Notamacropus eugenii: one gene and its partners. The protein of the gene in region 4 binds, or shares a complex with, the protein of the main gene of each other region. Links are inferred from orthologs where the notes say so. Each region holds a gene or a part of one and is shown on either strand. Other genes may lie near its edges. The genes, in order: TMEM216, TMEM107, MKS1 and TCTN1.

Evidence for each region.
Region 1: TCTN1 (region 4) and TMEM216 share a complex: the UniProt entries of both Homo sapiens proteins name them as parts of the tectonic-like complex. The link is inferred for Notamacropus eugenii from reciprocal best matches to the Homo sapiens genes TCTN1 and TMEM216.
Region 2: TCTN1 (region 4) and TMEM107 share a complex: the UniProt entries of both Homo sapiens proteins name them as parts of the tectonic-like complex. The link is inferred for Notamacropus eugenii from reciprocal best matches to the Homo sapiens genes TCTN1 and TMEM107.
Region 3: TCTN1 (region 4) and MKS1 share a complex: the UniProt entries of both Homo sapiens proteins name them as parts of the tectonic-like complex. The link is inferred for Notamacropus eugenii from reciprocal best matches to the Homo sapiens genes TCTN1 and MKS1.

The regions. Positions count from the first base shown.
Region 1 is NC_092873.1:12,955,764-12,963,239, reverse strand, and holds TMEM216 (transmembrane protein 216), read right to left. Parts: upstream 2,640-7,476; 5' UTR 2,483-2,639; coding exon 2,470-2,482; intron 2,273-2,469; coding exon 2,171-2,272; intron 1,902-2,170; coding exon 1,809-1,901; intron 1,400-1,808; coding exon 1,198-1,399; intron 1,019-1,197; coding exon 1,003-1,018; 3' UTR 518-1,002; downstream 1-517. Other genes in the region: TMEM138 (transmembrane protein 138), read right to left, coding at 4,375-4,487, 4,700-4,775. UniProt on the Homo sapiens protein: Part of the tectonic-like complex which is required for tissue-specific ciliogenesis and may regulate ciliary membrane composition.
Region 2 is NC_092873.1:77,718,742-77,725,858, reverse strand, and holds the start of TMEM107 (transmembrane protein 107), read right to left. Parts: upstream 3,017-7,117; 5' UTR 2,901-3,016; coding exon 2,799-2,900; intron 2,242-2,798; coding exon 2,174-2,241; intron 2,026-2,173; coding exon 1,925-2,025; intron 1,572-1,924; coding exon 1,475-1,571; intron 1,306-1,474; coding exon 1,236-1,305; 3' UTR 1-1,235. UniProt on the Homo sapiens protein: Plays a role in cilia formation and embryonic patterning. Requires for normal Sonic hedgehog (Shh) signaling in the neural tube and acts in combination with GLI2 and GLI3 to pattern ventral and intermediate neuronal cell types.
Region 3 is NC_092873.1:370,734,128-370,741,190, forward strand, and holds the start of MKS1 (tectonic-like complex member MKS1), read right to left. Parts: upstream 3,020-7,063; 5' UTR 2,936-3,019; coding exon 2,856-2,935; intron 1,616-2,855; coding exon 1,506-1,615; intron 1,392-1,505; exon of another isoform or gene 1,317-1,391; intron 1-1,316. UniProt on the Homo sapiens protein: Component of the tectonic-like complex, a complex localized at the transition zone of primary cilia and acting as a barrier that prevents diffusion of transmembrane proteins between the cilia and plasma membranes.
Region 4 is NC_092875.1:35,714,353-35,721,272, forward strand, and holds the start of TCTN1 (tectonic-1), read right to left. Parts: upstream 3,021-6,920; 5' UTR 2,254-3,020; coding exon 1,977-2,253; intron 1-1,976. UniProt on the Homo sapiens protein: Component of the tectonic-like complex, a complex localized at the transition zone of primary cilia and acting as a barrier that prevents diffusion of transmembrane proteins between the cilia and plasma membranes.

The DNA of each region.
Region 1 (7,476 bases), on a different chromosome or scaffold from region 4:
CAGAAGGGACAAGACTTGCCAAAAGTCTCATGGCCTCCGAAGGCTTCAAGATTCTGTAAAGAAAGGAAGAGGGGGCTGGCAGTTAATCTCTGAAGAGGAACACGAGACAGATGTGACTGCGTGCAGCAGAACAAATGGGGGACAGATCAATAAGGTATAAGTGATGGTCAACAGAAGATTTGGGCATTGTTCCCCCCAAGCCTCTTCCTTTGTTTTCTCATCTTTAAATAGAGGCTAACGCTTCCAGTCTGTCTACCAAAAGATCCTGCCACCTCACCACAGCATCAGCCTAGAGAGCAGAGGTTTTATGAAGGCCCTTGGTTCCTGGTGACTGAGTTCCCAAACCAGGCCACAGCAGGCACTGTAAGGAAGACAGTCAGAAAGCCTCACGGAGGCCTGATGCTGTGATGCTGCTGCTTGATGGAAAGACTAGCAGGCTTTTGGGAGGTCTGGGAAGCAGGGACCTAGTACTGTCCTTGGGCTTTGTGCAAAGAACAGTGCCATAAGCAGCCCCCACAACAGAAAATAAATATTTATTGTAAATAAATAGTGTTTGTTCGAAGACATAGTGTAAGAAAATGATACCCCAAGCTATTGAGTGTTGTTGCCTAGTCCCTTCTGAAGCTCATCCCCTACAATGAACGAATGGGATGAGGTCCGGGTTTGGGGTTAGTGGAAGAAAAACACCCTTGTGAAATGCAGGTCCACAGTGCTTCCAGGGACACACGCACAACGGGCCTAGCTCAAGCTGGGGGCCCCGGAGACCTAGACAATCCAAACTCAGTGCTCTGGTTGTGACAAGAGGGAGTGCCAAGTAAGGACCATGTGCAAGGGCCCAGGACAGGGCTGTGTGCTCTCTGCTATCCTGAAGGAGATGGAGAACATATTCTGTAGGCTGGTCTAGAAGATACTGCCGGGACCAAGTCAAAGGGCTGGCCTCCTCAAGAGCATGTGTCTCTGTGGCACCAGGGGGTTGAGTCACCAGGGCTCAATTAGGCCACTTCAATACGAATCCATGCTATGGGCAAGAAGAGACCACAGTAGGTTAAAGACCAAAGAGCAGTAGCTAACCTCACCTATCCACCGCTGGCACCTCAGCCTCCAAGATCTCCCAGCCCCATATCCAGCCTCACCCCGTCTCCCCTACACAGGGCCCTCCTAGAGGGGAGGCCTGAGCCCAGGCTGAGGAAGTAGTACCTGTTGAAGGTGGTGAGCGTGATCAACTCAAGCACCAGCTCTAAGCCACAGAAAATGAGCAGAATGGTGCTCATGACAACTTCAAGGCGCAGAATGTAGGTCTGCAGCAAGAGGTAATAGGAAGCCATCATGGCTGACGGAATGGTCATGGCCAAGCTGATCCCAAGGGGCATCATCCTTTGACAGAGGTTCCCTTTTGTAGCTGTCAAGACAGGCACAAAACAGGCCCTGGGGATCACTTCCAGTGGCCTGCCCTGAGCTTACAAGGCTGGAGCAGGGAAAGCCACGGAGGCTGCAAAATGGGTGGAAGTCCAGGTTTAGAAGTCATGCAGGTCTGTGGTGATGGGAAACTTGGCCTAGAAGAGTTAGGACTTTGGGTTCCTCCCTCCTCCTCCAAAGGAGCACTCGGGACCATCACAGCAAGGACATATGCCCCTGACACCCAGTGCCCACCGCAAGGGGGAAGGCCCCGGGAGAACCACGTGCCCCCCCGGCCTCCTCTGTCCAGAGGAAGGAAAGGGACTGTCCAACCCTGTAACCTTCCCCTGGGCCACAGAAGGGGGCCAGGACCCTTTCGGTCCCCTGCTAAGGTGCGGGGATCAGCCACTTACCAAAAAAGAGGCGGATGATTTCAACGCCAAGGTAAAGAAAGAGCATGATCAGGTCCAGAACTAGGTTGGCTGTTGGGTACGGTAACAGAAGACCTGCGGGGGCCAGAACGAGGCTGCAGCAGGCGGCGGGGGAGGGGTGCCGGTCTGACACCTCACCCCTGCTGTGCGGCTGGACAGGCACAGCACAACCGGGGGTCGGCGCCGGTCCTTCAGGCTCTCCAGGCAACACTTTGGGAGGGGCGGGGCCGGACGGGCGGGGCTGCTTGGGGGCGGGGCCAGACGAGGGGCGGGGCGACGTTCACCCAGGGCTCTGGGGGGTCAGGGGCGGGGCTTCGCGCCAGGGAGGGGGGCGCACGCCTCACCTTTGTACATGAACACGAAGAGCTCCAGCAGGAAGTAGGTGGCGCTGTACCAGCCATTGAGAAAGAGCAAGATCTCCAGGGAGATGGACGACAGCCGGCGGTCTGGAGGGGGAGGCCCGAGGTTGGTGAGCGGCTGGGCCGCGTCCCCCCCGCCTCCCGCCCCGGCCGGCCCCCGCCCGCCCCGGCTCGCCCGCGTTCACGGCCGCGGCCAGCGCACTCCTCGCTGTGGACCCGTGGGGAAACCGAGGCCTGGGCGGGGGTCCCCGAACGCGGAGACTCACACACCTCGGGCAGCTCACCTCGCGGTGCCATCGCCACTCAGTCCCCATGGAAACTGCTGGCGCGGCGCCTGGGCTCCCGGAGACCAGCTCGGCGCCTGCCGGAAGTGAGGGGCGGGGCGAGGCGGCGCCCGCCCGGAAGGGCCGCTCTAGCTGGCGGCCGCTCCAGCTCGGTGGGGGCGGCCGCCGAGCATGCGCGAGGCCTGCGGCGCTGGGCCCTGGCGGGGGCGCGGCCTCTGGGGGCGGGGCCTCCGCCTGGCGAAGGGCGGGGCCTCCGCCTGGCGAAGGGCGGGGCAAGCGGAGGCGAGCCCTGCCGGGGCGCCCACGTGAGAGGCCGAGGGCGGCTCGGGGCGGGCCCCCTCCGGGCGTCAGCTTTCTTCAGTGCTCCCGCACAACCATCCTGGGGGACGGGGCTGCTACTGAGGCAGACAGCAGCGAGCCCCAAGATGCCCTCCTGCGCAGGGCTCAGACACTCCCTCCTCTCAGACCCCCCTCGCATACCCCCACTTCTCCCTCCCTCTGGAACCCACACTCGTGCCCCCAGAAAAAGCCCCCTAATTGTTGAACCTCTCCCTCTCCCGCGAGTGCGTCCCTGCACCTCCGTGCACACTTCTCCTGCACATCCTGCACACCCTCCTAGCCTGCCTCTCCCAGCTCCGGAGTCATCTTCCCCCAAATCCTCGTCGGCCCGTGGCCCCCTACTACCTCTGGGACCAAATGGAAAATTCTGTGCTTGGCATCTAAAGCCCTTCACAGCCTTTACAATCTACACACTTCCTGCAGCTCCTTGCCCAAGAGGCGCTCTCTTCCTCTTCCATGCCTTTTCCCTAGCTGTGCCCCATACCTGGAATGCCATCCCTGCCTCCCTCTTCTAGCTTCCCTGACTTCTTCAAGTCTCAAACCCCAGGTTCAGTGCATAAGTCCGTCCTGGCCTCCCCCTCCCAGTGCCTTCTCTCTGGAACTGCCTCCCAAGGACTCTGCTCTGTAGAGGCTGTGTCCTGGGTGATTGGCAGGTAGAGTTAGGGCTTGAACCCTGAAGGGCAGGGACTGACTTGTTCACTTTCTTTGTATCTCTTCCATAAGACAACATTTATATGTAAATGTATACAAAAGATAAACCAATGCAAGGTAAGGACCTACAGAAAAGCATTTCCACCATTTTACAGGTGAAGAAACTGAGGCTCTGAGAAGCTGCCCACAGTCACACAAGTAATGAGCGCTAGGACCAGGCCTTGAATCCAGGCCCCCTCCCTGTGTTTTAGGCCCATGCCAGACTCCCACATGGCCCTAGGGCTGACCACAGAAACAATTTGTCAGACTCTGGATCTAGTCTAGGAACAAATAAGGCAGCTGGAGAAGGCTGAAAATTCATTGAATCCAAACTGCTCATGTTCATCTCAGGAAAACGGAAGAGCTAAGAAAGGAAATGGCCTCTCAAAGGCCGGGTCTACCTATAGGGAAAGGGGATATGCAGGCCACCAAGGGAAGGAAACCAGGCATCACCACCAACAGAAACAGCCTGGCCTTGGAAATTTATGGCAAAAGGGATACATTTATTACCTATTTTAAAAAAGTACAAAAGGGCTGTAGAGCATAAAAACCTCCAAGCCCAAGTCTCTTAAGTGTGCCAGTGTTATTCTCTGCATGCCCAGGCCTGCGGTGGGGGGAGAGGGAGCAGCCAAAGGGGGCTCTTAATAAGGGCTCCTAGGTGGAACTTCCTGGTTGCAGGAAGGGAGCCAATGGGCCCTCAGGCTCTAGGGGAAGTGGTACAGAGGGGCCGTGCTGTGTCGTGGGCAGCAGGCTGCGCAGGAGACCTTTAGTTAGCATGCAGGTGAGTAATAGGGAACATGTGCCCGCCTTGCCCTGGTCATGGGCCCCCAATGATGCAGCAGGCAGGGTTCCCGCAGTCTGGCTGGTGCAGAGGGGTCAGCTTCGCACTCTGGTGAATTCCTTGCGCAGCCACAGAGAATCCTGGTAGAACCGTGGATCACCCAGGCGGATGGCTGTCCTCTTGTAGAAGTAGCAATAGAGAACAGCAGCTGGGGATAAGAATGGGAAAAGGGCCCTGAAGGGTACTCCCCTTCAAGCTGCTCCTCTGGGGACATGACATGGGAGATAGTGGGATCAGACTCCCCAGCACCACCAGGTGAGGGGTGGGAAGGGGAAGGACCACTGCAGGGGTGATGGGACTTATGCCACTGGCTGACTCTAGAATGAAGGACCTGCTGGGGGAAGGTGATGTGGTCCTTACCCAGTCTCTGAAACACAAACAGGGTTTGAAGACCATCTGTCCAAATAAAATGCTTGGAGTTTTTCCAGCGCAGGTTCTAAAGGAGAGAAGCAGCCAAGGTAAAGCCAGCATTCAGATGTGGCCCTTGCTCTGTCTGTACTTCTGACCCCACACAGGATGCACCACCACATGGCCCAGCTCTTTCCCATGCACCAACCCATTATGTTCTTAGGCCCAGTCCTCCCACTGACTGGTACAGGAGCTTGGACCATTGCAGCCTGGCCATGCTGATAGCTCCCAATCCCGGGGCTCACCACGCTGATGTTAGCGTAGACAACCAAGCAGCAGGACCCAGCCATTGGAACTCCTGTGCTCCCCTGGGATTACAGATGGGGACATTTTCTTAACAGACTAACCAAGTTCTCTTTTTCCTGGGAAAGGATGATGGGGCATGGCCCTTCCACACATAAATGCTTTGTCAAGCCCTTCATTGCTTCCCTTACCAGGAAGAGGCATTCACTATGTATGAGGTCCAGGCCTGGGACTCCTGTGTGGACAGGGTCAGCCTGTTTACTCCTCTCATCTTGGTCTATGCTCCTGGTAGCCAAGGGCTCAGGTGTACTCGGAATTAAACAGCTCGGCTCAGGAGCTTTACAAAATAAAAGCAGAACCTATTTTGGCTTCAGCACGAAGATCTCAGAAAATCCTCTTATCTCCCCTGCCGGGCAGACAGTACAAGGCCAGGAGCTGTGCCAGCTTAGTGCCACGTCACCAGCATGAGCTGGCTTCCTACTTGTGAGCTCTGCTCCTCTCCTGAGGGCTGGAGTTTTGGCAATCCACACCTTCCCCTCAGACTACCTCTCTGATGAGCCAGCCCAGACCAGGGTATGTAGAGCTGGGCCTGGAATTAAGGAAGCCAGGCTCAAACTCTGTCTCAGATCTGTAGCTAGCAGGGTCATCCTGGGCCAGTCATTTCATTTCTCTCAAGCCTCTGAGACAAAGGAAAAAGCCTCTGCCAATGCAGACTGACCCTCTCTGCAACTCATCATATTAGGGAGCTCCCCCGAGTCTTACTCAGGCTCACCTGGCCAGGAGGCCCCTGAGGAAGCCTGCCCTGTAGCTGCTAGCTGCGCCAGCCAGCGCACTCCCACCCCACGTCTTTTTTGCCTTCTTGAGGGACTCGCGGTTGAGACATCCCAGGAGGATTCTCCACCCTACAAGATGGTGGGCTCCCCTCACAATTCCATGTATGGTGGGCACCGTCTGTCCAACAGGCCTGATGTTGCATGAGCAAGCTTGGTTGAACTGCTCTTTTCCTCCTTTTTAAATCTCTGTTTAATGAGAGGTGATTTCTTTGGAAATAAGGATGATGTAAAAACAAAAAAATATCATTAAATAGAGTACATTTCTAAAAAGAAAGAATTAGAAGATGGGTGTTTGTTTCTGGGAGATGACGGAAGTCCTTAACAAAACTCTGCTATTTTCTGGAGGTCCTTCTATTCAGTTCTGAGCCCAAATCAGTCTGCACCATCATACACATATGCACACACACACAGGTACATATATACATACACATATATATTCACACGTATATGTATATAATAATGGATGGACTCTGTAGATTGTCCACATGACGGCCTATCACAATAGGCAGTCTTTATCCACTTGCTTTTTCCTGTGTGGATGGTTACATCAAACTTTTTTTGTCACTATGGATCTCTTCTAGGAGGCCCTGCCATGTTATGGGCCTTCATGTGACCATTATGGTGTCATCCATAAACTAGAGCATGTGGAAGACTTCATTATAAGAAATCCCTCTTCACTGTAAATTCTGTGTTTGATCTCCTCTACGACAGTGGCAAATATTTTCGTCTGTTTGTTGTCCTTTCATTTTCACCCTTGATCACTCTTGGGAAATGTTTTTTTCTTTTTCAGTGGGGTGGGAGAGGCAATTAGGGTAAAATGACTTGCCTAGGGTCACACAGCTAGTAACTGTCAGAGGCCAGATTTGAACTTAGTGGACTCCTTCTGACTCCAGGGACAGTGCTGTATCCACTGCACCATCTATCAATCCCCTCCTCATGAAAGTTGTGTTCTGGGCCTGTTTTTCTCCTCTCCCTTCCCTTCCTTGGTGATCTCATCAGCTCTTACATGTTCCAATGTCATCAATGATTGACTCCCAATCTTTAAATTCAGCCCAAATCTCTCTCCTGCATCCTGTCCCATGCTACTAATTCCTCTGGATATCCTGTATGCATCTAAAACCGAATTGGAATGAGTGGAGAAGCATTTCCTGAATGCTCACTATATGCTGGGTACTGTGCTAACAAGTTCAAAATAAGCCTCACTATTCCATTTCCTCCATTCCAAAAGGCAGCCAGGTCACTCCATTCTCCCCCAGACTTCTTCCTGCCAGCTAGGTTCCCAAAGCATGATTGCTCTCTCTCCATCATCCTGAAGCTCCCAGCACCCATCTCTGCATGCCCACAGCTTCTAACCTGGCTCTTGCAAGACATCAATGGACCTCACACTTCTAGTCTCTTTCCTCTGCAATTGGTCCTCCCCAAAGCTGCCAAAACAAGTTGCTAAAACACGGATCTGACCATGTCACTCCTCTCCTCAAAAATCCCCCAAGGTTTCCACTCCCTCTAGGATAAAATACAAATCTCGGTCTGGAGTTCCAAATGCCTCATGAGAGGGTTTCCACTTCACTTTCCTGTCATTTCTCTCTCTCGTTCCTCTTGCTCTTCTCTGGCCCTGACATTCCATCCCCACCATGTCTGCACACAGACCCCCCT
Region 2 (7,117 bases), on a different chromosome or scaffold from region 4:
TTTGCCTTTATTTCCAAAGGTATTTGTAATATTCAGGGATAGAATAATGCCATGCTTGATCTTTCATCATATTTACTTTCACTTCAAACCTAAGATTCAGAAATTTAGAACTGGAAGTATCTGAGAGCTCATCTAAGCCAATGCCTTCCTTCTGTAAACGTGGAAACCACTACTATAGTAACGAACAAAACTGGAACAAAATTCAGACTCTGAGGCTTCTTGTGATCATATCTCATTGGCTCAAGGTGCTAAGCTCCCTTCCATTTTTTCTTGTCACCATTAATCTTTCCTAGGAGAGTGTCACTTATTCTTACCTTCTAGATTGGCATGTCTCACCTAATCCTGTTGGAAAAAGAGAAGAGTTGGGGTATACTATAAAAATGAACTCCCTAGTGGAGACAGGGTACTATTTTCCCATTTCCTCACAATAACTCCATTTTACACAAAGATGAGATTGAGAATGAAAAATGTTAAGTGACTTTTCCAAGATCACACAGCTAGTAAGTGTTCAAGGGTCCCCGGTTTGTGCACCATGACACGTCACTCGGATGGTAGTAAGTATTGCCCATTTCACAGATGGGAAGAAATTACATCCGTTCAGGGCATGCCTTACAAACAATAAAGAATATTTTCTGGGAGCTAAATGCAGGACATTCTAACTCTGATTTACCTAATGGATGGATACTGGGCACTGTCTTTCCCCAAGCCCATAAATAACGAAGGCCTATTCCATCCATCTGCACCCCAAACAATCTAAAGAAGCTAGTCTTAGCTTCTTCACTCAGGGTTCCAAAGCCTCCTGGTCCTCATTTGCATATTGTCCCAGGAATGACGTACATTGTCACTCGCATAAATCAGCCCCGCCCCTTCCTGGGATTTGGACCGTAATCATCGAAAAAGGGGCACCAGTAACTTTAAGGTCCTGGAATGGATGGGAAAACACCAGGCTCCCCTTGCGGCACACTCCTCTCTGCTGTGTCTTCCCTTCCCCTGTGTATGGCCAACATCGAATGTCCCCTGCAACTGGTGTCACCAGCTTTAGTTATGGTACAAAAGTGGGGTTTTATTATAAAATATTATATACAATGTCAATGTGCGAAAACTCAGGGGGATAAGAACACTGCCAACAGTCCCCCAAACCCTGTCGCTGGCAGTCTTCCCAGTTATTTTTCCAAGGACTGAGGGCTGACTTCAAAGCCTTCTCGGTCTTCTGCCCCACGTTTGTGGGAAGTGGTTCAGAAAGATTTTTTCTTTAACACGAAGACAGCGATGACCAATATTACTTCAGTGGAAGCTGGGAGAACACTGCAAGAGGAGGGAGGCGTGATCAAAGACTTTCTCGTAACAAAGACGGCCCAGTCCCAGCACTGACACCCTAGTCAGGACCAGCCCTTAAACCCAGAAAGCAGGAAAGCGTTGCCTCCTCGGGGGCAGCCTCTCGGAAACCTTGGATAGGTGGCCCCTCGTGCCGCACCTGCAGAAGGCGAAGATGTACCAATAGACGTAGCACTCCCAACCCTCGAAGACGAAGAAGGCCAAAGACACCGCTGCGCAGCAGTGCAGCGCGATGGCTTCAGGAGAGTCAGGGAAAAACAATGGAACTACATTTCCCAGCAGGCTTGGGAGAAGGGGGGGTGGTACCCAGGCAGGACCCGTCCTCGGCCGAGGAGGGAAGGGAACCTGCGCTTACTCTGCCAGCAAATTAAGCCAGGTTAGGAAGCGGAGTTCAATTCTCTTTCCTTCCTCGTCTCCCCGACCCCTGCTTATGTCACCACCATGTTAAGAGGGGCTCCATCTTGCGCCAAGCTCAAGTTAAACTTCAGAGATCCACACTTCGCCCCCCCAACCCCCGAGGCCTAGCACTCTTCCATTTGGGGAGCCACGCCACTGGCCACTGGGGGGAAAGAGTAGGTGGAAAGGATACAGAAGAGGCTCTGGGTGGAGTTGAACATGGACACGCCTGAAAAGAAACCTGCTAGTTCTATCAGGAAGAGGCCCAGGGTAATGGAGAGAGCAGTGACCATCCTATGTAGGGATAAAGCGGTCCTGGAGTCTACCCTTCGCAACCAGGGGCCTTCTCCCTCTCCAGGATGGCTTGACTCCTCCACCCCACCCCAAAGTGGAGGAGGGGAAAGCCTCCCCCACTGGCCCGCCCATCCCCTGGGTGGCTCACTTAAGGTCCTCCTCCTCATACTCCTCCGAGGTGAAATCGGGAGGCAGACTGGCCTGGACGTTGATGTCCTAGGAAAGAAGAGCAGGAGTAAAACAGGGTTTTTAAGCCAGGATGGAACAGAAACGGTAGCTGCAGGGCAGCCAGTGTTTGTCCCTTCCCCTTCTTCCCACGGAGCGTGGAAGCTACAGAGTGGGCCTTAAGAAACCACCGGTTCATAAAACATGCTGGGGAGGACACAGAGGTCCATGGACCCGCAGTCCCTAAAGTCACACAGCGTAAAGACTAAACCCTAAAGCTAGATTTCCTGACCCCTACGTAGGACCGGCTCGGGATGCTCCGGCCTGCGCTTGGGGAGGGCAGAAAGAGTAACTCATTAAGGGGGTAAAAGTTGGGGGGGGCGGGAACCTTTCTGTAAAGAAAGGATTACGAGTTGCAGGCGCAGGCGCAGGAGAAGCTAGGGGATGTAAAGGAAGAGGAGTCCCAAGCGCAGGCGCAGGCCGGGAAAGCGGGAGCTCAGGCGATGATCACCGGCACGGGCGACTTGCGTCACCCGCTCAAACCCTGGGCCGGAGACAGGGGGCCCCGGGAAAGCGAAGGGAAAAGGCTGGGATGGCAGTTAGGTTACCCGCGTCCAGAAGATGGTGACGACGATTACCAGATGAGCTAGCAACGTCAGAAAACGAGAGGGCACCAGCCCAGTGATCCGCCCCATGCTTTCCGAGAACATGGGTCGGCGGCCGTAGATCCACGATTCCTTCCGCACCTCGCCGCCGCCTCTCAGTTGCCACGGACAACCAGGGCATTATTTTTTTTTTAACCATGACGGTTGGCTAAACTACTCAGGAAATCTCGTGAGAAGTAGCAATGCACTGAGAGGGATTGAATTTAAAGGGACCCTCCCGTAGCTTGCAGCAAACCGCCGGCCTTAGCGCAGAATTCGTGCCTTCGCTTGCGGGATTGGAGATCCTGCGACCTCGAGGCCCTCCAGGTCCCTGGGTGCGGCCTTTGGACTGACAAATCCTTTTATTATCTAGGCCGCAGATTCCCCACCCTTGGCAGATTCTTCCCTGGAAACAAGGGTGCCTGACCTCCCCCCCAAACTTGTCCTTTTAGAATTTATCCTGTAAATAGCCATAGGGCTCCCCCCTCCATAGCATCTTCCCCTGGAGCTGCCGAGCCCGTTTCCAGTCCTTCTCCCCACGTTCCCTCTCTCTTTACACCCTTGTCACCCTAATTCATTTACATGCCGTGGTTACTGCCCTCTTCCTACTCAGTTCCCGAAGGGCTAGGAACCGCCTGACCTACACCTACCCCAGAATCCTAGCAGGGGGTCTCGTTCTGGGGTTTGTTTAAAGAGTGCCGAAGGAAGGAATATTACGCTTTCCCCAAGTATCTGGCAGAGTTCAGAGCTGGAAATTCGGGAAGCAAAAGACGAGACGTCCCCTGCTTTAAGGAATTTGCCTTCTAATAGGTGATGACGTTATGAATGAATGAATGAATGAATGAATGAATGAATGAATGGGCGCTAAGTACTTTGCTAAAAGTGCTGAACGCTAGCTGTGCGAATACAAAAAATGAAAACAGTACCAGATCTAGAGGAGCTTACGATCTTTTTAAGATTGCCTTTTCCTTTTTAAAAAAACAAAAACAAAAAAAACCAGGACACCTTTGTTGTTGTTTCATTCATCTGACCTTCCCAGTACTCACCCACCTTGGGCAACTTAAAAAATCGTACAATCGGACCAAAAAACAAATTGTTCAATATATATGTACATAGTCTGGCGAAACAAATTTCACACATTTAAATGTATGGCTTTTTAATGCCATTTTAAGTTCATCATCCCTCTGTCAGGAGGTGAGTGTCTTATTTTATCTTCATTCTTTGGGATTGGTGGTTTATCTTTGTAGTAATCAGAGTTCTAAAGTTTTTCAATGTTGTTTTCCCTTACTGGTATTAACAATACATAAATTATTCTCTGGTTCTGATGGGGATGGAATCTGAATACATAAAAGGAGAAGATCATGTCTTTGGGATCTGGACCCTCTAAAGGAAAAGCCCTGGGGCTTTTTCAGGTGGCCCACATCCCTGGTATGTGCCTGGGGCACTCAGCCCTTCCAGGTCTTTCTCTGTTACTGCTGAGGTTCGGGGTGCTGCGTACCCCAAAATACCAACATGATAGGTCCTGCTCAGATGAATTCAAGTCAAGCCTTTTTTAAGCCAAAGTAAAACAAAGTTTATTAATTCTTTAATCTTTAATTCGCCATATTGGGTTGACTTTTAAAGAGCCTAAGCATCTGGAACACTATATTAACAAGCGGACCAGATACAATCTCAACTAGACGGAGTCTGAGCTGGATTGAATCCGAGCACTTCCATGGAGGTGAGATGGAATTTACATATAGAAAGACCATGGGAAAGATCTAGAGGTGGTCTAGTAGTCTGGGAGGAGGGTCTAAGGAGGATCTTGATGGGACTAGGATAACTAGTGATATAATCCAGGATGGGAAACAGCTGGAGGCAATTGGGAGCTATCAGACAATGGAGGGCCAGGGTAGGAAGCAGGTGGGGCCATCCAGAGGTAACAAACTATGTTACCTTGGGTAACACTGAGGGTCGGCTAGATTAAGGGGAACAGATATGAGTATGAAAGGCCAGATAAAGTGGGAAGATTCAAGGAGGTTCCCAGAGTCTGTACCACATCATTACCTCCCAGTCACCCCAGACTACTTGGTCTCTCTTAGATCCTTCCCACAGTCTTTCTGTGTATAAGGTGCATCTTGCCCCCCATTAAATTGCTCATATTCCTTAAGAATCTGTCCCTGTTGAGGCTTAGGGGTTCTGAGACCCTGAAATAGCAACACGCTGGGTCCTGCCTGAGTGAATTCAACCCAAACCTTCTTTCAGCCAAAGAAAAACAAAGTTTATTAAAGATCCACCATATTGGGTAGATTCTTAAGGAATCTGAGCATTTGTGATGCTTGTGTTGAATCTGAGCATTTGTGCGGCTGTGGGTCAGATAGAATCTGAGCCCTTGTGATGAGGGCCAGAATGCACCTTGATGGAGTCAAGATGGATCTTATATACAAAAAGGCTGTGGGGGGGATTTAGAGGTGGCCAAGTAGTCTAGGGTGACTAGAGGAGGGGTTTACAGAGGGTCTTTATGGGAATGGCCTGGTCAGTAGGCTGGGGTAATTAGAGGTCAAACACCAGGAACTAGGAGAATAGGATTAAGTGTGGGAAGTAGCTGAAGACTACTTGGAGGTAGGAGACTATGGAAGGCTGGGCTAGTTTAAGGGTAACAGATTTGGGCATAGTAATAATGGAAGGTTTATGACCTCAGGCAAACACTAGAGCAAGTTGGAAGACTCAAGGAAAGTTCAAGGGGGCTTCTAGAGCCTATACCCATCTGCCCCACTTGCATTATCAATACAAAAGTCTCATATTCTTTACGTTTTGTCAATGTTCATATTCAGTGTGGCCCTCTTGATAATACAAGTGTCACAATAGGGCAGATTCTTAAAATCTTGCCCACCCAGACCATGTTCTAATAAGCCTTATTTCTAGCTGAAAGAAGGCTTGAGTCTAATTCATTTGAGGCAGGACTCTAGAGTTGTTTGCCCTTGAATTTCAGGGTTCCAGAAGCCCTAGACCTCAACAGTTCTGCTCACTTCACTAATTATCAGTTTAGAGAGGTCTTCCCAGTTTACTCTGAAATCATTCATTTCACTATTTTTATGGCACAATAGTATTCCATACATTCATATACCCCAATTTGTGTAGTCACTCATCAATAGGAGGACCTTCTCCTTCCAATTTTTGTCTTCCATAATAGAACTGTAAGGGATGATTGAATTTTGTTTCCATAGAAATTACATGAAACCTAAGAGGTTATACTGATGGCAAAACTGATTGTAGTGGAAGGGCAGTGGGGGATGTTGGCCACCTGTTAATCAACATATCTAAAAGCAGACTCTTCTTCTTTTGTTCTGAGAAGGCCTTTGTCCAGTGTATCAAAAACTGGCCAGTTGTGGTTCTCCAAGGATGGGGTCCATTAACCCAGATAACTGTCTTAGATAATGTGACTCTTTCTCATCGATATCCTGGGCCAATGTTCAACTCACAGCTTTTGTCAATTCTCTTAGCAATTGAGAAAATTCTTTTCTCATGCTATGGTGATCATAACATCTGATGCAGACAAACTAGGAGGATGTCCAGCCTAATTGCCGTGGGCTGCCCGGGTCATCTTACCTATCTCCAGGTCTTCGGTGGCCAGCCAGATAAACGTATCGAGAGAAGAGACTTCCAGGGTCAAACAGAAGTTGTAAGCTTTATTCAGGATCTTAGTTACATGTCAGCATGCAGGGCGAGTTCTTCCCGAGGAGAAAGGAACCCCACCCCCAGGCTTTCCTGTCCCCATTTAAACTCTCCCCGCTGCATAGTTCGCTCATGGATACCATGCATGCTCTCATCCCCTTAGCTAATTAACAAAAGGGTGTGCTCAGACCACAGACCAATCTCAAGGGTGAGATGCTTTCCCCAGCAAGTTTCCACTGAGAAGAGGTGGAAAAACAAGAAAGCTCGAGTCTCATACCTCAATTCTCAGCTGTTCCCTGGGGGGCCTCATGAGAGCTCGAAATCAAGAAGCCCTCACTTTTACCTGCCCAAGGGCGTTCACATGAGAACTGAGCTTACACCTCAAAAGAAGGAAACTAGAAGCATTTATTAAATAAAGTATAAAGAAAATGAAGATGAAAGGGAAGGGATTGAAATGTGGAAATGAGAGCTGTAAGCAGGAAACCATGTGGGGTTGGGGTTTAGGTGTTTTCAGATAGACTGTGAACCTTGAAATGCCTGACCAATGAGATGAAAAGGGAAATACTAATCAGAATGGGTTATGACTTTGTAATTGTCTTGAAGTGTGCCTGTGTCTACTAAGGTACCCT
Region 3 (7,063 bases), on a different chromosome or scaffold from region 4:
TTTCAGATGTACACCTGATTCAAAAGGGTGAATTTCATAGGCAGCTCCCAATTGCTAATAAACTTTATGTCAGTTATTTGGAAATCGGAACTCACTTTCCTACAGAAAAGTTAAAAGTAGCAGTTAAGATTCTCTTCATTACACAAAATCTATCTAACCAATAATGTAACCACATTTAACCATCATTCTAAACAATGTTTCTGTAGGAAAATCTATCTTAAGTTCCAGCTAGGGACAAAAAAGAAGGCTGTCCACTTCCACAAGGGTGATTCTCCCAAGTCCCCAAAACACTGCTCCAGAGTAAGCGTGCTAAAGGCTGTATCTAGTTCAAAAGACTAGAGGTTCATAATTAGGCAGGACCTTAGGGCAATCTAGTCCAATTTTCTCATTTTGGATAAATGATTTGTCCAAGGTCACACGGTCAGTAAACAGCAGATGATTTCAGCTCAAGTTCTCTGACTCCAAATCCAACACACTTTGCAAAGTTTCTGGACCTTGAATTTACTCAAAAAAGTCACATATATGCGAAAGCATTAAGAATTTCTTACTTGTGTACAACACCTACAGATACATTATCTCATTTGGTCCTTACTGTTCTGTAAGGCAGATATTTTGTAGAAGAGAAAACTGATTCTCAGAAATGGGCAACATATCATTACAGAATCAATTAGACCTATACAGTGGCATGTACTCAGATAGTCAAGGTCTAGAACTGTGATATATTAGATCCTTTGTGCTCAAATCTCTTCATAACAGCCCCTCTGCCGCCTTTCCAATCTTCTTACACCTCACACCCTGCCCTCCTTTGTCTTTAGAGACTTTTCAATCCAGCCTCCTTGATTGAGGCCTCATTGCTGTTCCTAACAAGATACTCCATTGCCTGACTCTAGACAATATCACTGCCTAGAATTCTCTTCCTCCTCATCTCTGTGTCCTGGCTTCTTTCAAGTCTCAACTGAAATCCCACTTTGTAAAGGAAGCCTGCCCAAGCCCTCTGAATTCTAGAGCCTTCCCTCTGTTGATTATCTCCAGCTTATCTTGTTTGCAACTTGTCTGTACAAAGTTGCTTGCACAGTGTCTCCCATCAGACTATGAGTTCCTAGAGAATAGGGCTATCTTGGTTTTTTTTGCATCTGCTGTGTTTAGCACAATGACTGGCAGAGAGTAGTTGATGCTTAATAAATGTTTACTGACTGACTAACTAGATTATGTATTAAGTGCCTAGGCCACAACTAGTACCCATTCAGAACTCTTTTGGTAAACAATGTACTTCTCCTTTTCCCTCAAACCCTGTTTGAGAAGCTGAGCAGGCCAACCTCCTCAAAGGTATAAAGTCTCCAGAAGTCCAGGGCAAGAGCAGAGAATTCAAGAACTCAGGTCACTACTGCTTCCTGGGAGGCAGGAGGAAGGTGAACAGGAATGGTTATCCTCAGACCTCAAACACCACCTACTCCCAGTACCCTCCCCAAATTCCCAACCAATCAAATCATAATATGAATACATACTGGCAGAAGTTGGTGGGCTAAGGGTGGCCAAGCCTATAGTGTCATTTGCCAGTTGGGGAGAAGACGGGCGGAGGAGGAGGCTGCCTGAAGTGATTTTCTGGAGATGAACTCTGACAAAGAGAGAAAGAGAGAATCCTAGCATAGACAACACAATGATGGGGCGTCCATATCACAGAGTTGTACAAGAGTACCATAAATGGGAGTGGGCAGCTAGGGCAGGCCAGTCTTTGTGGGAATGTATGAGGAGGGAGGAGGTAGAACAGGGTTAAAGCAAAGTCTGTGATTGGGGGGAGGGGGGAATAGTAACAGCACATTCAAGAACAGTGGTAGAAACAGAGAGGCCTGAGAGAAATTACGTCTGTGAGTGGAAAGGGTGCTTGTGGTAAGGTTATGAGGGAGAATGACTCAGGTCTCAGAGAAGGATGTCTATACGGTGGGTCCCAAAGAATATGAGATGGGAACCGCGTAACTCTAAAACCTTAGGGAGAGGGGGCTTGATATTTAGACCACCCATCTCATTTTGCAAAGGAAACAGCGGCCCAAAGGAGAAGGACGGTTGAAGGTCATAGAGCAGGGCCCCATTTAGAACCCAGGTCTCCAGAATCCAGAAGGCTCCGCTGCCTCTCGCTGATTCCGAGAGCTGGATTCTAAACTCGGCTTGGCCGTTACCTCGGGGGCCTCTTTACTCCTTCCCCACCCACCCCCGCCCCCAGAGGAAGAGGAGATGGATTTTATCTTAGGGCTTAAAGCTGGAAGGCCTCTCACATTCAATCCAATGAGCCCTTCATCCAGTGCTCCTTCGTACCAGGAGACAGAACTGAAAACGGGCCTCGCTCTCCAGGGGCTCCCCTAAGGTTCCCCTGCCCCGAGCTCCTGGTTTCACCGATATACGATGATCAATAACGGGCCGGATTGGGGGCTCCATCCAGTCTTACTAGCCACGTGACCCTGGGCACGTCACTTCCAACAAAAGCCTCTGCCTCAGGCTCCCCGTTGGCAGTGCCTCCCTGCCAGGCGGCTGTCTGGAGGATCAATCAGACAAAAACGGTCCGCGCTCAGCGCTACACGACCTTAGCTATTCACTATTATCGCCGGGACTGACGATGATGATGGTGGCGCGTCCCAGGCTCGCAGGGGCTGGAGCCCAACCAAGTCATGCCACAAAAGAGGGCGCTGAGGCTGAGAGACAAGGGACTCGCCCAAAGGCACCCGCGGGGAGCGCGGGGCTCGAACCCGGGGCTCGGCGCAGGGGGCCTCACGTCACCCCGCGGAGCCCTGCCCTGACGGAGATCAAGCGGAGGAGAAGCAGAGGGGGAGCGGGACGGGACGGGGATGAGGGGAGGCCGGTACCGGAGCCGAAGGTTGCGCACGGGGTCCCGGGAGCGATACACGGCCTCCCCGGTATCGGTACTCCAGCCCGGCTCAGCCATGGCTGCCGCGTTTACTGCGCCTGCGCGGGGACAACCGTCGCTCGCGCGCTTGAGTTAGTTCCCCTGGCAACGGGGCACGCCGGAAGGGCGCGGGGCAGGGCGGGACGATGACGTAATCCTGGCTCTGGGTGGGCGTGCCGAGGGCCGGCTGGGGAGTGCGATCCGGAGCCTAGAATGGGATTGTCCCTAAAGGCCCCGGATAGATTTCAGGGGACCCAGATTTGTTTAACCTCAAAGGAAAACTGAGCAGTTCACGGTTCTGGGGAGCAGCGTCTGGGTCCATTGGCTTCCCCAGGCTGCTCCAGGGGTCCAGGACATGAAAAAGTTTAGAATCCCTCAGCTAGAGCATCCAACCCAACCCTGTTATTTTAGGGAGTCGAGGGATTACAATGACAGGGGTCAAGTGATTTTTCCTAGGACCCACCGGCTATAGGCGATCAATCAATAAACATTTATTAAGCTAATATGAAGCAGCGAGGTCACCGGACCTGGAGTCGGGATAGACCTGAGTGCAAATGCTGCCTCACCCGCTGTGTGACCCTGGACAAGTCATTCAGCCTCTGGCTGCCTCCGTTTTCTCATCTATAAAAAGGGAGATAACAAAAACACCCGCTTCCTAGGGTGGCTGTGAGAATGAAATGAGATAATGTGGGTGAAGGGCTTTAAGCACTACATTACTAGGTGCCACTACTGGCGCTGTGCTAATCTTGATGTGGATACAAATACAGAAAAATAAAAATAAAGAACTCTGCCCACAAGGAGCTTACTTTCTTTTTAAAAATTGTATTTCATTTTTATGTCACCTTGATTTCTGATAATGTTTAATATAAAATTTTGGAATAATCTCTTTGCTCTCTCTGAAGCAAACTCAAAGAATGCCTCTTCCTATGTCAACAAAAGCCAGCCAAGGCTGACTTAACATTCTTTGGGAGACCTTTAACCTAAGACACTATCTTGAATAATGGGACATTTTCCATATCTTAATATTTGTAGACATATACTGTGTTATGGCATGTTAATGGTAAAGAAAATACAGACATCTTAGGTCGTAATTTCTATTTGAACTTTGTTTACCCTTTCCTGTGTCAGCTATTTCGAATATCTGGTTAGGACAGGAAGCCTGCCACTCACTAGTGGTGGGATTTCCTTTCTTGTCCTATGTCACTGAGGCATATGTTTACCCAGCCTGGAATCACAAGGCTCAACTGACATTGCCCTATTAATTGTCTTGTCTTACTGAATTTATGATTTGTTCAACTAAGAGAGTTCCTTTCTCATGGCAAAATGTATATAAGTCAGAAGATTTCTGTACTGGGTAGCCAGAACATTTTTCTGGCTCCATAATGCATTATGTTACCATTTTCTTTAATAGGGGATTGATCAATTAATTAATTAAATCATAAAATGTATGCATTTAGCCTGTTGCCTTTTCTTTAACCAAGTTTTCAGGTCAACATTTCATAACAATAAAAAAAGGGGAAAATGTTCAGCAAAAATAACCAAACCACCAACAGAGCCTGAGATATGTACCTTCATACCCATTGTCCCATCAACCTCTGAAAAGAAGGGAGGGAGATTCTAGGGAGCAAGCTTGGTCATTATTCACCCACAGCATTCACTTTCTTTTTTATTTGTTTTTCATCTTTAAAATTTTTTTTTTCAATTAAGAAACTTTTTTTTTATTAATCTGTGGCTCCCACTGACTCCCAAATGAGAAAAAAAAAATTTTAAACCCCCCAAAATGAATCCCTTTGTACGCAACTGCTTAATTCAGCAAAAGAAATTCTCATGTTAGCTGTCTTAAAATGTGTACCTCTTTCTGCATTTATGTTCATTACCTTTCTGTCAGGAGGTGAATGCTGTGTTTTGTTTTCATTCTTTTGGAATTGTGGTTTCTCAATGCATGATCAGAATTCTCAAGTTTTTCAAAGTTCTTTTTTTTCTCCAATGCTATTATCATTGAGAACAATAATTTGTTCTTTTGTTTCTACTCAATTCCCTCTATATCAGTTCATAGATGTTTTCCCAACTTCATCTGAAAAATTCATTATGGTGGCATAATATTATTCTATTACATTCACATACCATAATTTGTTAAGCCATTCCTCAATAAGATATCCCCTTAATTTCCAATATTTGGCTAGCACGAAAAGAGTTACTATAAATATTTTTCTACGTACAGATCCTTTATCACATTCTTTGATTTCTTTGGGGTGTAGTCCTAGTAGTGGTATAGCTGGATCAAAAGGTATGCAGAGTTTGAAAACTTTCTGGAATAATTCCATATTGTTTTTCAGAAAAGCTGCAGCAATTCATAGCTGTAACAACAGCTCATTTAGTGTGCCTGTTGGGGGCAACTAAGTGGCACAGGGGGATAGACTGCCTCAGATACTTATTATCTATGTGACCCTGAGCAAGTCAGTCTCAGTCTCAGTTCCCTCATCTGTAAAATAGTGATAATAGCGCCTATTTACCGTGTTGTTGTGAGTCTCAAATGAGTTTAGCAGAGTGTAAAGAACTTAGCAGAGTGCCTGACATAGTGAGTACTATGTAAATGCTAGCATTATATTATTTTCCTACAGCTTTTCCAACATCATTTTCTATTTTTATCATTTTTGTCAGTCTGATAGATGAGTTGGAGCTTCCAGGTTGCTTTGATTTGCATTTCTGTAATTATTAGTGATTTAGAGCATTTTTTCATATGATTGTTGATAACATAGATTTCGACTCTCCATTCTTATCATTTTATCTATTGTAGAATGGTTCTTATTCAAATAAATTTGAATGTGTTCCTTATACATCTTGGATATGAGACCTTTATCAGAGAAACTTGTTGCAAAGATCTATTCCCAGTTACCTATTTTCCTTATAATTTTTGTTACATTCACTTTGCTTGCACGAAAACTTTTAAATTTTCTACAACCAAAATTGCCTATTTTATCTTGTATGATCCATTCTGTCTTTTATTTGGTGATGAACTCTTCTTCTATCCATCAATCCAAAAGGTAATTTCTTCTTAGCTCTTCTAATTTGTTTATGATGTGATCTTTCACATCTAGTTCATGTATTCATTTGGAGCTTATCTTGGTATATAATATGAGATGTTGATCTAAAACAAATTTCTGCCAAGTTGCTGTACAGTTTTTGTGAGGCCTTCCCCCAGTACCTGCAACCTTCAGGCTTATCAAATGCTATGCTACGTGTAAGTTTATTTCTGTATGTTACTTACCTAATCTGTTTTGCTGATCTACCTTTCTACTTTTTAACCAGTACCAAGTCATTTTTAATAATTATTGCATATTTAGATTATTTAATGATTATTTTAATGATAATGATTATCAATCAGTTTGAACTTGGTACTGATCTCCTTCTTTCCCAGTTCTTTTCATGATTACCTTGAAAATCTTGACCGCGATATGGAAAGGGGCTATAAGCAGGTGAGTCAATACAAGCTACACACAAAACAAGTACTAAGTAATTAGGGTGAGTAATGAAAGGAGAATAATAATAGGGGAAAGTTACAGGAATGTAACCTGTGATTAAAGAACAAAGCAGAGGTTAACTGATCAGTATGGAAATCCCCATAAAATGAGGGGTCTGAATTTCAACCCAGGCCCTCGGATTCCAATCCAGTACTCTTCCCAAGATATATTGTAATTGAGAGAGGTAGCTCCAGGGCTAGAATTTAGGCCTACAAAATCCAAATGCATTTCTCTTTCCGTTTTACCTGCTGTTACCAGTGAACACTAATATGGCTGAAACATTTTGTAATGAGTGACGAACTTGGGCAAAACCCAACGGGAAGGAAACAATGTAGAAGAGTGAAGTGAATACTCAATCTAGAAGCGGAGAACCTCAGGTTCAAACTCCAGCTCTGCTACCTATATTTCATTGGGTAAATCAATTAACTTCCCTGGACCCTAATTTCCTCAGTTATGAAAAATACAGAGACTGGACTAGAGGGCCTCTACACTTTTTTCCAGCTCTAATTCTTATATCCTAATGCAAACAAAGCGCAAATAGTAGGGGTGCCAAAGGTGGTTTGCCCAAAGGCCTATTCAGCTCTTTGAATGAAAGGTTTTTATCTACCTGGTCCTGGGATCCTTTTTGTCCAGAACATTCTAGTTC
Region 4 (6,920 bases):
CTTACCTCTCCTGTACTTGACACAGAATTCTGCATAAAGTAAGCATTCAATAAGTAGGATCACTGATTTAGAGATGAAAGGCACCTTAGGGGTCACTGAGTCCAACTTTTTCATTTTTCAAAAGAAGTAACTAAGTCCCAGAGGGGTTCAGTGGCTTGTTCAGTGACACAGGCAGTGTCTAAGAGAACAGTCAAGCCCAGGCCCTGCTGTCTCCAAACACAGCATGCACTCTGTTCACCATATTAAGCCCCTTATATGTAGCTAGCTGACACTGTAGATACAATTTCTGACCTGCAGTCAAGGAAGACCTGAGTTCAAATCTAACCTAAGACACCAGCTCTATGAAACCTGGGCAAGTCACGACATAACCTCTGTTTGCCTCAGTTTCCAGATTATAATAGCACAAGATTGTGGTGAGGATCAAGCAAGATAACACGTATAACATATACCACATAATCAAAGTGCTTTGCAAACTTCAATATACACTATACAGCTATCTGAGGTGTATGGGGTGTTCATGGAGGACTAGCACCTCTGGCGTGAGAGCTTGCCATGATGGAGTAAACCATCCAGCAGACAGGCTAAACCAGGCTAAGGATAACTGATAGGCCTCAAAACCCATCAGTGAGTTATGGAGACATCTACCTCAAGTATGTGAAGGCTTTCCCCAGCAGAAAAGGTAGATAAGAACAATTTAGAGCTTAGACAAAATGACACCAAGGTCATCCACCACATTTAGGGCCATTGCCAGTTGTCATGACTTTTGTCTTGCTACTGGACTTGGATGACTTGGAAAGACTGAAGCTAACTCACTGAAATGCAGTTCACATGAGTCAAGATGTCACTGGTCCTTTTGGTAAATGAAGGACAAACAATAGAGCTGTTGTTTACAATTGTATACAATGCATTTGCCATATTGGGTTGACTCTTAAGGAGCCTAAGCATTTGTAATGCTTGTATTCACCAGTGGGCCAGATAGAATCTCAGCTAGATGCCCAGATGACTTGGGTTCTACTGGCTCCTTTCCTTTCCTGTCCTGTCCTGGCCTATCCTGTCCTGTCTTCTTCGGCAATGAAGGACGAACACAATACAATGCAAACATTTAAGGGCCAGCTATTATGATATTATCCTATCTGTTCCTTGTTATTTCTTAATATACTTCTCACTTCATGAAGGCAGAACTTGTATTTCACCTAAAATACATATGTCCTCTAATGATGGGTGCCACAGTGTATAATGCACTGGGACCTAGAATCAGGAAGACCTGAATTTAAATCCTTCCTCAGACACTTAGTAGTTATGGACAAGTCATTTAATCCCTGTTTGCTTCAGTTTCCTTATCTGTAAAAGGGGTATAACGCAGCACTTCTCTCACAGGGCTGGTATGAAGACTATATGAGTTAACACATATAAAATGGTCTGCAAACTTTAAAGCGAAACATCAATGTTATTACAAGTAAGATGCACTCCTAAAATTCACTTTGCTTTTTGTTTCTCCAGCCATCTCCTGTCATCCTGATGAATATCAAGCCACTGGAGGAGAAGGTGAGGCTGGTGATCTTGCACAGCCCTCACTCACTCAGATCAGAGTCAACTGCAAGTCACGTCGTCATCTTGATGTCATGGACCTCTTCCAGAACGAAGGACAAACGCAACAACAGGCAGGGTCTGGCACACAGTTTGTCGCTTGATTGGGAGAGCTCTGCATACAGCAGGGACTTAACAGATGCTCCGGCTGCTGTATCTATGAGCTAGGGTGTCACCTTTTCTTTCCACAGACCCGGTACTTCCTCTACACGAGGTTGGGGCTTAAGAGATGCTCTGGCATCAGCTGCCCGCTGGGACCTCACCCCCTCCTCCGCACCAGTCTCCCCCCCTCCCCCACACAGAGTGCACTCTGTTCACACAGCAGGCACTTAGCAAATGTTGCTGCAGGCCTCCAGGTCTGTGTCCTCCCCTGCCTCCTCAGTACCCACCATTCGTGACCGGGCTGGGCCTCAGAGCAAGCCGCATGTCCTCCGCTGGGGCCAGGGGCGACTGAGAAGTGGCCCCGGCGGCCTCGCGGACCCCGGTCTCGGGCCTGTTGTCCCTGGAGCCCGGGGTGGGGCCGGGGTCGGGGTCCGGGATGGGCCCAGCATCGGGGCCCTGAGGAGTCTCTGCGGGGGCCCAAGGTGGGGGTTCGGAGTCTGGAACCTGCGCTGCCCCCAGGCCCAGGACGACGAGCAGCAGCAACAGGAGGCACCACCCCCCCATCTCAGGCCACTGAGCCACCGCCACGCCGGAAACGTGCGTTGTCTGGGCAACAGCAGCAGCCGAGCGCGGGGCATCACGGGAGGCGGGCAGGAGAAAGGGAGAGGCCGGGGCAGGCTGGGAAGAGTGGCAATGGCGGGGCGGGGCTAAGCCTGGGTTCCGGCCTGGGGAGGGGGAGGATGATGTCAGGAGAAGGGAGGCACCTCTGAGGACGCGAGGTTGCCGCAGTCCCGGGCGCAGAGCGAGGGGAGTCTAGGCAGGGGGATGGCGGCGGGGGAGCCGAACAACGTTTAAAAAGGGGCGGAGATTGACGTCAGCGCAGCCTAGCGAGGAGAGGGGAGTGGAAGGGGATGACGTCAGGGGCTCAGAGCCCTCCGTACCCTCCCCCCACCGTACCCCAGCCTGGGGACAGAAAGATTAATGTTAGGGAGACAGAGAAAATCTAGGGAATTGGAAGGCATAACGTCAGGTGCTCAGAATAGAGACTGAAATGTGACGTCAGGGGCTTAGAACCTCCCCCACCCCCATGACCCCGCCACCACCTCCCCCAAACACACACACCTATCCCGGGAAAGGGGAGAGAATAAAGGGCACAGAGCACGTCTAGGGAACTGGAAGGGGATGGCGTCGGGGGCTCAGAGCCCTCTCCTCCCTCCCCCCTCACCACCATCCTCCTGCCCCGGAGAAAGAGAGGAAGATCGATGTTAGGACCGAGTAAGCGCACACACACGCACACACACACACACACACTCCCCTGTCCTCCTTCCCCCCTCCCCCGTATCCCCAGCACGCGGAACGAGAGGTAGTTTAATGTTAAGGGCACAGAGCAAATCTAGGGAACTGGAAGGCCTGACAAGGGCGGCTCAGAATAAAAAATAGAAGACATCAAGGCTTTAGAGTCCCCCACCCCAGCACAGGCTGAAATTTTACCCCTGGAGATTAATGTCAGGAGCAGCAGACAGCATGTGTAAGGAGCTGAAAGGAGTTAACATCAGGGGTGCAGAGTAAAGTCTAGGGAACTGAATGGGGATGACATCTGGGTTCTCAGAGCCTGCTGAGGGATAGAGGAGACTGACATCAGCAGTTCAGAACCAGATTGGGGAAGTAGAGAAGACCCCAGTGATGCTGATGACATCAGCAGTGCAGACTAAAGGCAGGGAACTGGTAGAGACTGATGTCAAAGAGCAGACCTAGGGAAGCAGAGGGGGAATAATGTCAGGGACATAAAGTAAGTCCAGGGAATTGGAAAGGGATGACAACAGGGACTCCAAGGAAAGTTAAGGAAAGGAAGAGCATGACATCATAGGCACAGAACAAGTCTATGGAACTCTTAGAGTCTGATAGTGCCAAGGCTAAGGGAGAGGTTGAGAGACTGGCACAGTCTCCCTAGGCACAGAGTGGGCCTAGGGAACCTGAAGAGGTTGATGTCAGGCAGTGACCTAGGGAAGATGTGGGGACTAATGTCCAGAGTACAGACAGTGGCACCAAAGTAAAGCTAGGGAATGGAAGCAGATGGTGTCGTGGACACCTGGGGAATGGAAAATCACTGGAATCAGGGGTGGAGAACTGGGCTAGAGAACTGGAAGATAAGTGGGGGGGGAGGGGTACAGAGAGAGCCCAGGGAAGGGGAGGAAACTGATGCAGAACATAAGAGGAGGAGTGTGTCAGGGGGGTTAGTAAATTTAGGGAAATGAAGGTCATTGACATTCAGGGTTCAGAGCACAGCTTAGGGAATTAGAGGAAGATGAGTAAGGGGTGCAGAGGAAGGAAGGTTTAGTGTCTGGGAGGGGATGACATCAAAGGAGCAGAGCTATCCTACGAAGCTGGACAAAGGCCTGGGGACACAGCACTCTTGGAAAAGGAAGGTGATGGTCAGGAGAGGCAAGAGAGCTTGGTTAAGGGAAGGAGGATGAAAGCAGGGAGAAAAGGATTGAGGGGAGGAGAGAGTGGGATAGAGAGGGAAGAGCACTGGTCTTGGAGTCAGGAGACCTGGGCTTGTTCTGCTGCTGGAGAAAAGACTGCTGGGAAGGACCCTCAGATTGAATCCCCGATCTGCTGCTATGTGACCCAGAGAATATGACTTCTCCGGCCTTACTTATGCACAAAATGAGGTTGCATCTTTAAGGTCACTTTCAGCTCTAGGAGAAGCAGGCTAGCATCATCATAAATGGCAGGAGAAGCATTGCAGTGAAATAACAGAAATATGATTTTGGGGTAAAATATGAGCAAGGTGGAGACTAATACGGTTTTGTCAAGATATTGAGGGAACAGGCTCAGAGCAGTAGAGTGACACATGGAGTAAGCAGAGCATGGATTAGACCAAGCTCCTTTAGCTCTGCCCCAAGGGGCTTCCCACTCCTAAACCCCTGACGTCATCTTCCTGTCTTTATTCTGAGCCCCTGACGTCATCCCTTTCCCGTCCCCTAACCTCGCTAGGCTGCGCTGACGTCAATCTCCGCCCCTTCCCTAGACTTGCTTGGCACCTCCGACGTCAATCTCCTCCCCAGCGTAAACGCTGTTCGGCTCCCCTGCCGCCAGCCCCCTCCCTAGACCGCCCTCGCTCTGCGCCCCCAACTAAGTCTCCTCGCGTTCTCAGAGGCGGCTCACTCCTCCTGACGTCATCTTCCCCATTGCCTGAACCCGAGGCCCCACGTCCCTGACGTCAATCCTCGCCCCTTGTTGGGGATGGTTTAGCCCCTCCCCTCCCGTGCCCCCTTCCTCATCCCTCCTCTCTGCTCCTCCCGTGATGCCACGCGGCCGTTGCCCAGACAACACGCGTCTCCCGCCTGGCCAGTCTGTGGCCTGAGCTGCGGGCTCAGGCTGCTGCTCCTCATCCTCCTGGGCTCACCCCGAGCTCAGCCACTTCTCTGTCCCTCCTGACTCTGGTCCCGAGGCCCCCAGAGTGGGAGGTGCAACCTGCCCTGAGGCCCAGCCCAGCACGGTCCAGGCTGACAGCCACACTTATTAGGCGCCTGCTGTGAGCACCCAGAGCACACTGTGCGTGGGGAGGGAGGGCGACTGACTGAGGAAGGGGACACCCCCTCCTGCAGATACAGCAACTGATGCCAGAGCATCTATTAAGCCCCTGCTGTGTGCAAAGGGAGACAGTGAGACCCCAGCTCACAGAGAGCAACCAGAGCATCTGTGAAGTCCCTGCTGTATGCAGAACTCTCTCAAGCAAGCAGCAGACAGTGTGCCAACCCCTGCCTTGCTAGATGCTGGAGAGACAAAACTCAAAGTGAATCTTCATTGTTATAATGATAGCTACCATCAAGGTTGCCCTTTAAGCTTTGCAGACCATTTTACATGTGTTAACTCACTGAGTCCTCACAACAACCCTGTGAGAGGAGTGCTGCTGTCATACCCATTTTACAGATAAGGAAACTGAGGCAAACAGGGATTGCCCACAGCTCCTAAGTGGCTCAGGAAGGATTTGAATTCAGATCTTACCCCCCCCCCCTCTAGGTGCAGTGCATTAGACACAGTGGCACCCACCATTAGAGGATGAATAGATTTTAGATAAGATAGAGGTCCTACTTTCATGAAGCTAAAAGTATTCAGGGAATAACAACAAACAGATACATATTATCATAATAACAGCTGGTGTTTATATGGCTACATGAATTCACACATTATGTTATGTAGCTATATTGCTGGTTGTCCTTTGTTTTCAAAGGATACAATGACATCATGGGTATTGCCTTGACTTCTGTATGAACTGGACTGAAGTGAAGCAGAGTTGCACAAAGCCCTCAGCCTCGTTCTCTCTTCCAGGGTCATAGAAGTCCCGTGGCAAGACAAAAGTTAATCTAAATCACTACTGATTAGACAAATGCAAATCAAAACAACTCTGAGGTACCACATCACACCTATAAGATTGGATAACATGACAGAACAGGAAGATGATAAACGTGGGAAAATTGGAACCCTGACTCGTTGGTGGAGCTGTGAGCTGATCCAGCCATTCTGGAGAGCAATTTGGAACAATGCCCAAAGGGCTACAAAGATGTGCATACCCTTTGACCCAGCAATATCACTTCTAGGACTGTATCCCAAAGAGATCATAAGACTGGGGAAAAGTCCCACATGTACAAAAATATTTACAGCAGCTCTCTTTGTGGTGGCCAAGAACTGGAAATCAAGGGGATGTCCATCAGTTGGGGAATGGCTGAACAAGTTGTGATATATGAATGTAATGAAATGCTATTGTGCTATGAGAAATGATAAACAGGAGGACTTCAGAGAGGCCTGGAAGGATTTATATGAACTGATGCCGAGTGAAATAAGCAGAACCAGGAGAACATTGTACACAGTAACAGACAGTGTGCGAGGACTGTTTCTGATAGACTTAGCCCTTCGCAGCAATGCAAGGACCTAAAACATTCCCAAAGGACTCTTGAGGCAAAATGCCATCCACATCCAGAGAAAGAACTATGGAATCGGAACACAGAATGAAGCAGACTATTTTCTCTTGTATTATGTTTTGGTTTGGTTTGGTTTCTCTCATGGTTTCTCCCATTCATTTTAATTCTTTTTATGCAACATGACTAATGTGAAAATGTGGTTAATAAGAATGTATGTGTAGAACCTATATAAGATTGCATGCTGTCTTGGGGAGGGAAGGAAGAGGGAGAGGGAGAAAATTTAAGACTTATGGAAATGATTGTAGA